Schizosaccharomyces pombe: one gene and its partner. Changing the gene in region 1 together with any one later gene gives a genetic interaction. Each region holds a gene or a part of one and is shown on either strand. Other genes may lie near its edges.

Region 1 (5,422 bases):
GAAGTAGTAATATCACGCTTATTGGCTTGCAAAAATTCGACGACGTTATCAACAGCAAGTTGAATTCCCCGGCGAAGGTCCATAGGGTTGCAACCGGCAGCCACGTTACGAACAGTCTCAGAAAAGATGGCACGAGTTAAAACAGTAGCAGTAGTGGTACCATCACCAGCAACTTCATTAGTCTTGCTTGCAACATCCTGAACTAGTCTTGCACCAAGGTTTTCGAATTTATCTTTCAAACTTACACTACGGGCGACAGTTACACCGTCCTTAGTGATTTTAGGGGAACCAAAAGGTTGGTCAATCAAGACATTACGGCCCTTTGGTCCCAAAGTTACAGATACGGCACGAGCAAGAGTATCGACACCGGTGAGTAAAGATGCGCGAGCATCAACACCAAATTTTAAGTCTTTAGCATATGTACGAACTTGAGGGACGGCAAATCTGCCGGGGATTCGACGACCAGCAATTCTTAAAGGTAGACGAGATACACTGGAAGAAAGGAAGCTCACCATTATGTTTAATTAATGAAATAAAATGAAGTTGTAAAAAATGGTTTTTTTTAATGCACCCAAAAAGAGATATAAAGAAATGTAAAGTTATCTAACGCAAATACAACCCACACGTTAGGAATATAACCAGCTAGCTGTCCCTGCAAAAATAAATGCTTGCAGCTTTTAGATATATTATTGGTTTTAAAATACGTGAAATACTCTTCACTATTTTCCGCTTAATGAAATTCCAAACAAGGCTAGGCAGACGATAAGTTAGCTATAATAGACATTATATATACTGTGACTGCCTGATATTCTAGAAAGAACTTTGATGGGATAAAGATTGACATGCCGGCAAATAGCCAATAGAAAAGCGACCAAATTTTAAGAATAGGTTTGGTAGCTTCTTGAAGAAAAATATCGAAAAATAGTGTATTGCATTGTTTATCGCTAAACGGCTTCTAAAAAATTAAAACATATAGAGCAAGAACGGGGAGCGTTTTCATTTAGTCGATTTACAGTCATTAAAACCTCTAAAAAAAATGCGGTGCTCGACTATGGTCAATGTGCCGTTTCTTCGTGATTATTCAAATAAGAAAGATCAACTCAATTTATCAAATTAAAAAGTCGTAAATGTTCTATACTTATTTAAAAAGTAATACTAAACGATACAGCAGATACGAGATACGTTTAGACAAAATCATCAAGTATCCACTAAAAACAGTGCGAAAAAAAATAATAATAACAAAAAAAAAATAGTGCAATCATATCTTGACGAAAAAAATCATACAAATGACAACCGAACTCTCATAATCGAAATTGAATTCTTTAACACATTATCAAATCAATAACACGGAAAAGAATTTAGGCACAATTAGCCAAACAGCCATTAAAATGAAGCCATCATTCGTAATAGTTAAAAACCGAGTGACACTAACGTGAACAAGCTGGGTCCGTACAAAACATATGAGATATAGAAATTGAAAAGGTATTGATAGTAACGAAAGGTCCTACACATAAGAACAAAACACAATCAAAACAACAAATTATTGCAAATAACACCATTAACATCCCACGTAAGATCGGTTATCGTAAATTTTATTTGAGACTTTTGCTGTATAGCTCAAGCATCGTATCCCAGTATACGAATCGTCAAACCGGATTTGCGATACAAAAGTTTAAAAAAATCTCACAAAAGAAAATTCCATTTTATTCCTCTCAAAATAATCATAAACGTGACTTTGAAGAGAGAAAAATATCATCTATTAAATTAAATCCTTTTCGTTTTACAAGAATCACATTATAGTTTAAAAGCATGAGCCCGATCACATGCACATCCGAAGTGAGTATGTAAACGATATAAGCATGAAAATCATGTCCTCAATTGAACACTAGGTCGTAAAAATGGATAATTCATTGAGATAATTTCACTCGTCGTTTTTATGTACAAAGTATAAATTTGCTTGAAAGCGCTTATTATCGTAAGGTAAATGAAACTTAATAAAACCCGAGACATAGCCAAAACAAGATTAATCAAAAGCAGGGAAAAACAAAAAATCCAAGACTAATTCTTTGTAAAAGTTCTGGATCCAATAGCACCGGTGTTTGATGGAGTAAGGCTTGCAAAATAATCGTTCATCGCACTACCGTTTAAAGTATTTGATGAATTAGTCGCATTGCGATCCAGTGGAGAGGAAACATTTAAATTAGCAAAAGGAGTAGCAAGTTCTAACGGAGTAGCTGGCATACTACGTATGTCGGAAAAGGCTTTAGAATCATTTAGTCCTCTGAGAGAACGTATGCTATCCGCAAGATGCATAGAGGGAGCGGGTCGTCTAAGACTTGAAAAATTACTAGAAAGACCACCGGACGAGAAAAGACCATTGTCAAATAAACCAGAGGAGCTCAAGTGATTTGCAAGACTTGGTTGGCTCAAATTGGAAGCACCTAAAGAAGAAGGATTTAAAGTACTGGCGTTTGGGGCCATCAAAGGAGAGTGGTTAGCACTCGAATTATTAGCGGGAGTAAAATGAGTACTAGGCATGGTAATAACCACTTGCTTAGCTTCACCGTCACCAGTAACTGAATGATTGAGATTGAGACGGGAAGCTAATAAGGCAGCAACCCGACGTTCTTCCTGGGTGGTTGAAGAATCAAATACAAGATCATTAGTGTTATCGCTGCGATAATAAAATAACAAGATATGAGAATATACATTGAGTATAGCTGGATCATTCAAATCAAAATCAATGCCAGCACCTATATTGGCAACAGAAAACGGAGATTTCAATTGATTTTTTCGTTCTTCTACAGCGCGTTTCTCTTGTTTACCACGCTCAACACGTTCACGCTCCGCAGGCGGTAGTTGACGCTTCCATTCAACACGAAGACGACGACCAGTAATTTCATAGCCATTCAAAACTTGCACAACCGTTTTGGCTTCCTCTGGAGAATGGAAATTAGCAAAGGCAAGGCCCCTAAAAACTCCGTTATCAAAATGATAATTAAAAGCGTATGGACGTGGGATGTCTAATGCAGTGAACACTTTAAACAACACTTCTTTCTTCAAGGAGAATGGAATATTTTTAATAACAATCGCGGTAGGAATGGTCTCTTCATCAGGTTCAGGGGGTGCCGTCAAAGTTACAGAGTTGCTCATACCTCTAGACAGAGCAGTGCTAGAAGCTGAGTTTGGTACATGTGAATGGGATGGTTCGTTGAATGCATTTAAACTATCAAAAGGGTATGTTGTTGAGGAAAGTAATGAGGTAGTAGCAGGTCCAGAATTTTTGAGTACATCTAAAGCACTTGCAGACCGGAGAGAAAGGCCTGCTGAATTAGTTGCTTCTTTCCAAGCAGTTTGAAGACGAGTTCGACGAGGCTTTGCAGATGGATTATTGGCAGTTGAAATTTCAGGATCCAGCATTTGTTTAAGGGAACTTGGTAAAACCGTAGAAGAACCATCACCCAAACCATCATCTGCATTGTTGTGGGAAAATATGCCAGACCCTCCCATTCCAGCACTGTTAACGGCTGCATCAGAAAACGTAAACTTATCACGACCATATCGGTTCTCGAGATATCCTGATCCTCCAGGAATATTAAGACCTCTCATTTCTTCATCTTGAGCTCCATTTAATTCATCTAATTTGGGGAAAAAGTTGGACCGTTTTCTACGCAGAGATGCAGCCTCAGAATGGAAAGTTAAAGGGGAAGAAGCAGGAGAAAGAGTATTAGTTGACAAAAATGCCTGCGACAAAGGCGTTAATGGCCTTTGGCTTGTGCCCTCAGCCATATCGACACTAAACAAGTCGTAACTTCGTGTGGTGCGGAGGTTAGGTATCCGTGGACACCACCAAGGGCGCAAAGTCAATATACTACACCATATTATTGAGGTCTTAAACCCATAAATTCAAATATACCAATCTATAGAAGCAAATGTAAAAATAATTATTATAAAATGTATATACTACATACTGGTGTTGATTTTTAAACCCCCACTAGGTAACTTTTTGCCAGGCAAATAACAGGGTACTGTGATGATAAAACCGAAAGTCCATCTAAGAGCTCTTAAAAACACTGCTGCAATGATAAAGACTATTAAACTGTCTAATAATTCGACCACCTAAAACAGAACAAAATGAAAGTCCTAATTTTTTGTTTTTACTTAAATTCTTGTAAATTTATATTTTTATTAATTTGATATTCCATGAAATATCATTCGAATTTTAGCATATTAGATTATAGAATGAAATATGTGAAAAATATCTTCAGTGAACCTTAGGATCCAAAAGCTTCTCTCCCACAAGTTCTATTTTTGGTACCCTAGCAAATCCCATTGCAATATGACATAGAAAAAATTTAAATAAACTTGCATAAAAAGAATACCTTGCTCGATAACTCATATGGAAACTTCACAACCTTTATTAAAAAGAATGAATCATATTATTACAGTTTCGTCTATTTAATCCCTTTATTTCCAAAACCTCAATCCAAGTTTTCATTTATCTTTGCAAAAATTCATCTTCCAAATCACCACCAGTTGAACTTTTTTCCTGTACAGGAACCCTGTTGGAACCTGAAGATGGTATTTTGTGTTTTCTGCCACTATTAAAGCGTTCTTCCATCTCGGCCCAAATGCGATTTCGAGTTTCTTCGGTCTGTTCAGATGTGCCTTCTGCGTAGAGTGAAACATACTTTGTTAAAGGGGGGTATTCCTAAATAGGTTAGTATCTTAGCCAAGTTGATAGTTGAAATGAAGTCGAAAATACAAACATACTTTAATATACATAAGATCAATTTGACATTTACGCATCGATTTCTCACACTGCTTGCGTTTCTCATCATCCATAGTTTCATCCTTCAAAGATTTTTCCAATTGTTTAATACGTCGTTCTGCTTTTTTACGTTCTGAGAAAATCAGTAAGCAAGTTCACTGAACAAAAAATGCTGTTTTTATATATGTTTCATACCAAAAAATCGAACTTTTTTGTATCTTTCAAAAATCTTTTGCTTTTTATGCTCTAACTGTGCCATAGACAACTGCTCTTGTAGACCCAAAAGAGCTCGTTCATGTTCAACACGAATGTTTGCAGGCAAATTCTCCTTAAAGGAAGTTAGTTTTCTTATTCATTAACATAAAAAGGAAGGTAATATTTATTACACACTGAAACCGCAGATGTTTTTAAACCAGCAAAAAAATTACACACCTTTTTCAATAATCTCTCATTGTCGCGAATTTTTTTCTTCAGCACAGAAAGTCCAGGGCCCTTAAATTTTGGCATGCTAAAACGCTCAATAAAATAGATAAATAGAAATTCAAACCATAAACAATTAGTTCTGGTGAAGAACAGTAGTAAACTTAAAGGACTGCAATTTTTACAGCTGCTAGGTTCTCAAGTGACACGTTACTTTTATATATAAGTTTA
Region 2 (5,671 bases), 630 kb from region 1:
CAAATGAAGTCTCTTCTGTATAATCGCCAAGTTTCATATGTGGTTCCTTTGACGGATAATTCTGCTTAGCATCATCGTCAGTATCGTTGTTGGGTTTAGTAGCCTCATAACCAGTTCCTTTGGTAAATTCCTCAGTACGGGCGGAACCTGTATTAGACATTGCAAAGAATCTCACGTTTAATCTTTGCAGAAATTTCTCTAGATGAGTTTTATGACTGAACGAAAATTGGCAGAGCCAAAATGAATGGTGAATTCCCAATCCTTCTTATTGACTGTTAACTCAAAAGGGTTGACTAATGATAATGACTATTCAATTCTTCAATGCTAATAGTTTCCTTTAAATTCAAGTAACCTAGCAAATACACACTCACTTCTAGGCGTGGTGGTACATTGATCTGACGAGAATGAAATCATCGTCAGAATGAAGTCCTTACAGAAAATTTCTAACACCAACATCACAATTCATGGTTGCTGATATGGTTGAAACTAATTCATAGTTGACTGTGTTCTAGAAATTCGACTTGGTTTTCTTGTACAGACATTCAGTATATCTTCGGCCAACTTTATTCACTAATAAATGCTATCTTCGAAAAAAAATCATTCTTAAACAGTCTCATTACATGCACTATCGTAACTGCAGATTTTTTCACTGTAAACGATTGCCTAAAAAATGCAGTTAAATTATAAAATTCAAATGCTTGGTATAGGTTGAAGAATAACAATGCATTTATTGCAGCAATGGAAATTGCAATAAAACCAATTATGTGTTACTATACATTACTAAGATTATTCAGGATATGTACATGATCAAGCTGTAAAACCATTTTTCATTAAGTATAGAGATTGAGCATACACCAAAGTGGTAAGGCTACCTAGAACTGAAATAAACGATACAATTGTTCCAGGACAGTGACTTTTTACAGCAACTGAAAAGGAAGCAATAGTAAAATATCAGGTTAATAGGTTCATCATTGCTCAAACATTAGTCTATCAATCAGACAGTAACTTAATAAAAAAATCCAGTGAGCGATTTATACAGGTGAATTTTAAATGCCACAATTTCGTTATTCTTTATAGCAGACGAATCATGAAAGCGCAGTTTTTTCTGCTTCGGCGTCATCGGCTGATGCAACTGGTGAACCGCTTTTCTCGGTCCTCTGCATAGCTCTTTGTTGAACTTGCTCTTGATAAGTATTAGAAAATCTATCTGTAGCTAAATCAACCAGATTGTTAGTGGCCCGTTCCAAAACCATCTTCGCAGGCCAAATTAAGCCAGAAATATATAAACCATAAACCACAGTACCTCCAAACATAAGGATCATAAAAACGAATGGATTGCGGAGAATAGCCATAAATTCATTCCAACCAAGGACTATTAGCAATACCCAAAAGTATGGGGGGATTCTGGTGGTTGTATTGATTACGGAACGTTTGCAGTCCATAAATATCAAATCCGCAGATCTCTTGAAATTAACAGATATGTCGGACACACGTCTACGATTTAGAATAGTAAAAAATGAAGCTGGCGAGGTATACTCTGGCTCCAAAGTCTTTATGTCAACGTTCAAGTCCGGATAATTGCCATCCGAAACTTTAATAGAGGCCAAAACGTTGATCAAGTCTAACGTTTTGGTTAAACTTTCCCGATAATCACGGTCAATCGTTCCCGACTTCTTCCACAATTTTGGCATCCCATCACTGTCATATCGAAATAGTTCTTCAAAATAAACTCGTAAACGCTGCTGTAGTAAAACCTCGCTCATTTCAGAATCAATTTTCTTTCTAAAAAACAGCCAACTGTTCTTTTTAAAATTGATAATATATTCTTCCGTTGTTTTAGTATCATCAATATCCACATAAAAAGGAACAATATTTTTTATTTTTTCAATAGTAGTATTTTGAGCAGCTAAGAATTCATTGAGAAGCGTATCCCAAACGTTATGAGAAAGTTTTTGGAAAGCGACCTCAACAGCTTCCGAAACTTCAAACTCGAACCCAGTAAACAACTCTTCCAACTTCTCTTTCAACTTTTCCTTACAAAGCGTTTCGGAATTTTGGGTTAACTCTTCCGATAATTTTAGAATAAATGGATCAACATCCCAGTGAACATGTGGTAAAGACAAAGATTCACCTTCCTCACGCATTTTGTTGACAAGTTCGTTAATTTTAATAGAAGATGATTCTTTAAAAGGCGTATCAGAGGGAAATTCATTTGAGGCGTCAAAAAATGATTTAATAAGCTCCTTGTGTAGAGCGTTCAACTGGGCTTGGAAAAATACATAAAGATGAGAATCTACCGAAGCAATAAGCTCCTGCTTTTTCTTTTGATAGATATGCACGTTGTATCTACTAGCCTGTCGATCATAAGCTTCGATAACAGTTTCAAACATGTTTAAGAGCTTGGTAGGAAGGTCCTTGCATAAATTACCGGGTAAAAACTCTTTTTGTAAAATAGTACAAGCAGTAGAAAAAGGTTCCATTACTTCAGTAATAATCTCATCGCAACGATATTGAGCAAGCAATTGCTGTTGTGTAGGTAAATCAAGGTCCTTGTTGTTTTCAATGGTGTCCCATATCTCACGAGTATAAAGAGAAAAACCATCAGCGGGGATTTTTTTATGATAACTCACATTAAATATGTAATCAGAATTATTGTTATCCACAAATCTTTCACGCAAACTATCAACAGCTTCACTGAAAGCATCAGAACATAAAATCTTATGTGGTAAACCAGTGAAGCCAACATCAAAAAAGTCATTAATTACGGAATTTTCGAATCCTTCTGGTTTCGAAAGGGATGCCCAAATGTTATTCAAATCGGTCATAATAGTATCTGCTAAATTTTCCATTGAAGTATTTCCCAAAAAATCCCGAATAACAAATTGAAGCAAGCACCTTTCTTTTTTGTTATGAAAAAGTTGTAAATTGACTTCTAGTACTGTTTTAAGTAATGCCATGTTTGAGCCTTGGTATAGACCAACCTGATTTTCCCACATATTAACGATAATTACTTCACTAGTTGAAATGGAAAATAAAGCTGATTTTCTTTCAAAATCCTAGGTTGGTTAGTAATGACTCCAAAAGAAAATATTGATCAATTATGAGTAAAGGAAATACTAATGTGTAACTAATAGTAACAAATTAGTTCGCATTAAAATCTTACCTGATCTTCACCGCGCTCTCTACCATCGGTGCCTTCTACATCCATTACAAGAATAGGCGAATTGTTTGCCTTCGACAACCAAATACCTAACAAAAATTAGCAGCAAGCTCAGATGTTTTAATTAAAAAGAAATAATAGATTTACCTTTAGTAGTTTGTTGCCTTTTGGAAGCATCCATTACTGAAAATGAAGTCCCAAATAAATTATTTAGCAATGTACCTAATCATAGAGTTAATCAAATTTGCTCAGTGAAAGCTTTAAGTATCCAATTTAAAAGGATGTTATAACATTGGTTGGATATAGAACTCTCAAGTTGATTTTAATCTACTTACTCTTGCCAGTAGATTGGGAACCCAAAACGGCAACAACATGATAGTTGAAACCAGCATCTAACAGTCCTACGCTTTGCATAAACTTTGGTAATTCATTGTTGAATTGTTTATGTTCATCCACAATTTGTGTGGAAACCCTATTGGAAGCAGTACTCATGTTTTGGTGTAAGCGGAAGACAAGTTAACAAACATATAAGGTAGTGTGATGTCGAGGATGTAATATATCCTGACAACATTTTCAGTATTCATTAACAAATATATAACTATTTAAGTTAAATTATTGTAAAAAGACAGGTTTTGCATAATTTTGTTTATATAAATATCATGAAACAGATGATACTTTTCCTATAGTAAACTAGCAATGGCATAACAACACTCGTTAGCTCTTCCTTTCTAATGTTTACTAAGTTACTCTGCGAATGTTCAGATGTTTGTCTGTTAGCTCCATATATTTTCTTGTTAAAATTATGATTTTTAAAGAAAGAAAATACCAAGGATTTAGTTGAAGAAAGGAATGTATTTTAAAGAGTCATTCGGCCATTGTTTTGAATCTTTTCACAATGGTCTTCAAAGACTTATCGCATTTACAGACAGGAAATTTGTGCTTTTCTAAAAAGGAAACAGATTTGTATGTTTACAGAGAACAGTACTTAATAATAGGTATTAGATGCAAAATCAAGAGTGTAGCTTAAACGTTTCTCAAAAGCGCTTCGTAGTATTCGACGATATCGGTTTCATTCAATTTGTGAAGTGTTTTTGACGTTGCCGAATATGCTAAAAAAGTACAAACATACTATAATATAGCCCTTCGCAAGGTTGGAAATTATTTAATTTAATAAAATTTCTAGCATAGCTTTAGGAATCGAATTCTTTGTACTAATGTCTCACTATCCTATGCAACCTTCTTTCATTGACACGATGCGCAATTCAACCCATCGTTATGAGTACTTTATATAGGTGCGTAAAATAGTTAAAATCCTTTCTCATGGATTTTCTTCCTTAGTTTAGCTAAGAACAAAGGAGAATGGCTTGGGGAAAACGCGTTGTCTCCGCCACGCGTAAATATTATATATAAATGTTTGATGCTACATCGCGCTTTTACTATTTTCCTCACACATCGCAATTGTAGCAAATGGCTAAGGCGAAAGAAGTAAAAGCGAAACCTATTAAAGGAGAGGAAGGTATAATATTGACAAAAGGCATTGGTATTCAGCTAATCAATCGCAGCTGAAAAACTTGTTTACGAGTATTTACGAAAAACGAATCGTCCCTATTCTGCAAGTAAGAACATACATTAAAAAAATCGAAGCTGACAATTTTGTTAAAAGCTGACGTTAGTGCTAATTTGAAAAATGTTGTCAGTAAACAGGTCGCGCAGAAAGCATTGGAGCAGCTACGCGACACTGGACTAATCCATGGGAAACTATATGGTACTGAAAAATTAGTTAAACAGATTACTAACGATTACTGAGGAAAACAAAGTGTGTTCGTTTGTCTTCAAGATGACTTGGCAGCTGCTACTCCTGAAGAATTGGCTGAAATGGAGAAGCAAATTCAAGAACTAAAAGATGAGGTTTCAGTTGTTAAAACTCTATACAAAGAGAAATGCATTGGTCAGTAAATAAATGCTATTCTTTAAAATGTAGAATGATACTTCACATAATATGCATGATTTAAAACAGATCAAAGTTTTATTGATGGTATCGTTCATTTGTTTTGAGCGTACACAGCACTTGTTTTATGCTAACTCTAAAAGAATTACAAGCTTTAAATAACTCACTCAGTCCAGCCGAAATTCGTGAAAAAATTCAGAGCATTGATAAAGAAATTGAAGAAACCAGCTCAAAACTCGAATCTCTTCGAAATGGTACCGTTAAACAAATTTCCAAGGAAGCAATGCAAAAGACTGATAAAAACTACGATTTTGCAAAAAAAGGATTCTCAAACAGAAAGAAAATGTTTTATGATTTATGGCATTTAATTACTGATTCCTTGGAAAACCCTAAGCAGTTATGGGAAAAACTGGGATTTGAAACGGAGGGACCAATTGACTTAAACTAAAAACTTAACTTTAAATTTAGCTGATCCCTTTTTAACATTTTAATCATTAAATTTATATAGCTCAAAGAAAAGTCATTATCCATAGTTAAATATAAATACCTTAGCAGACAACTGC

The links.
Region 2: mutations in cip2 (region 1) and sey1 together harm fitness more than expected from each alone (negative genetic interaction), as found in Schizosaccharomyces pombe (one large-scale study listed by BioGRID).

What each region holds. Positions count from the first base shown.
Region 1 is NC_003424.3:341,341-346,762, forward strand, and holds cip2 (RNA-binding protein Cip2), read right to left. Parts: upstream 3,832-5,422; 5' UTR 3,790-3,831; coding exon 2,059-3,789; 3' UTR 750-2,058; downstream 1-749. Other genes in the region: protein Mcp60, read right to left, coding at 1-515; efg1 (rRNA-processing protein), read right to left, coding at 4,499-4,711, 4,774-4,904, 4,967-5,099, 5,204-5,278. UniProt on the Schizosaccharomyces pombe protein: Regulates global gene expression after oxidative stress. Interacts and stabilizes mRNAs and may regulate their transition between different cytoplasmic components after oxidative stress.
Region 2 is NC_003424.3:973,082-978,752, forward strand, and holds sey1 (GTP-binding protein Sey1), read right to left. Parts: upstream 3,658-5,671; 5' UTR 3,653-3,657; coding exon 3,496-3,652; exon of another isoform or gene 3,454-3,495; intron 3,383-3,453; coding exon 3,308-3,382; intron 3,250-3,307; coding exon 3,164-3,249; intron 3,057-3,163; coding exon 1,086-3,056; 3' UTR 762-1,085; downstream 1-761. Other genes in the region: SPOM_SPAC222.13C (6-phosphofructo-2-kinase), read right to left, coding at 1-160; meu13 (homologous-pairing protein 2), read left to right, coding at 4,628-4,676, 4,723-4,776, 4,824-4,925, 4,968-5,108, 5,252-5,556.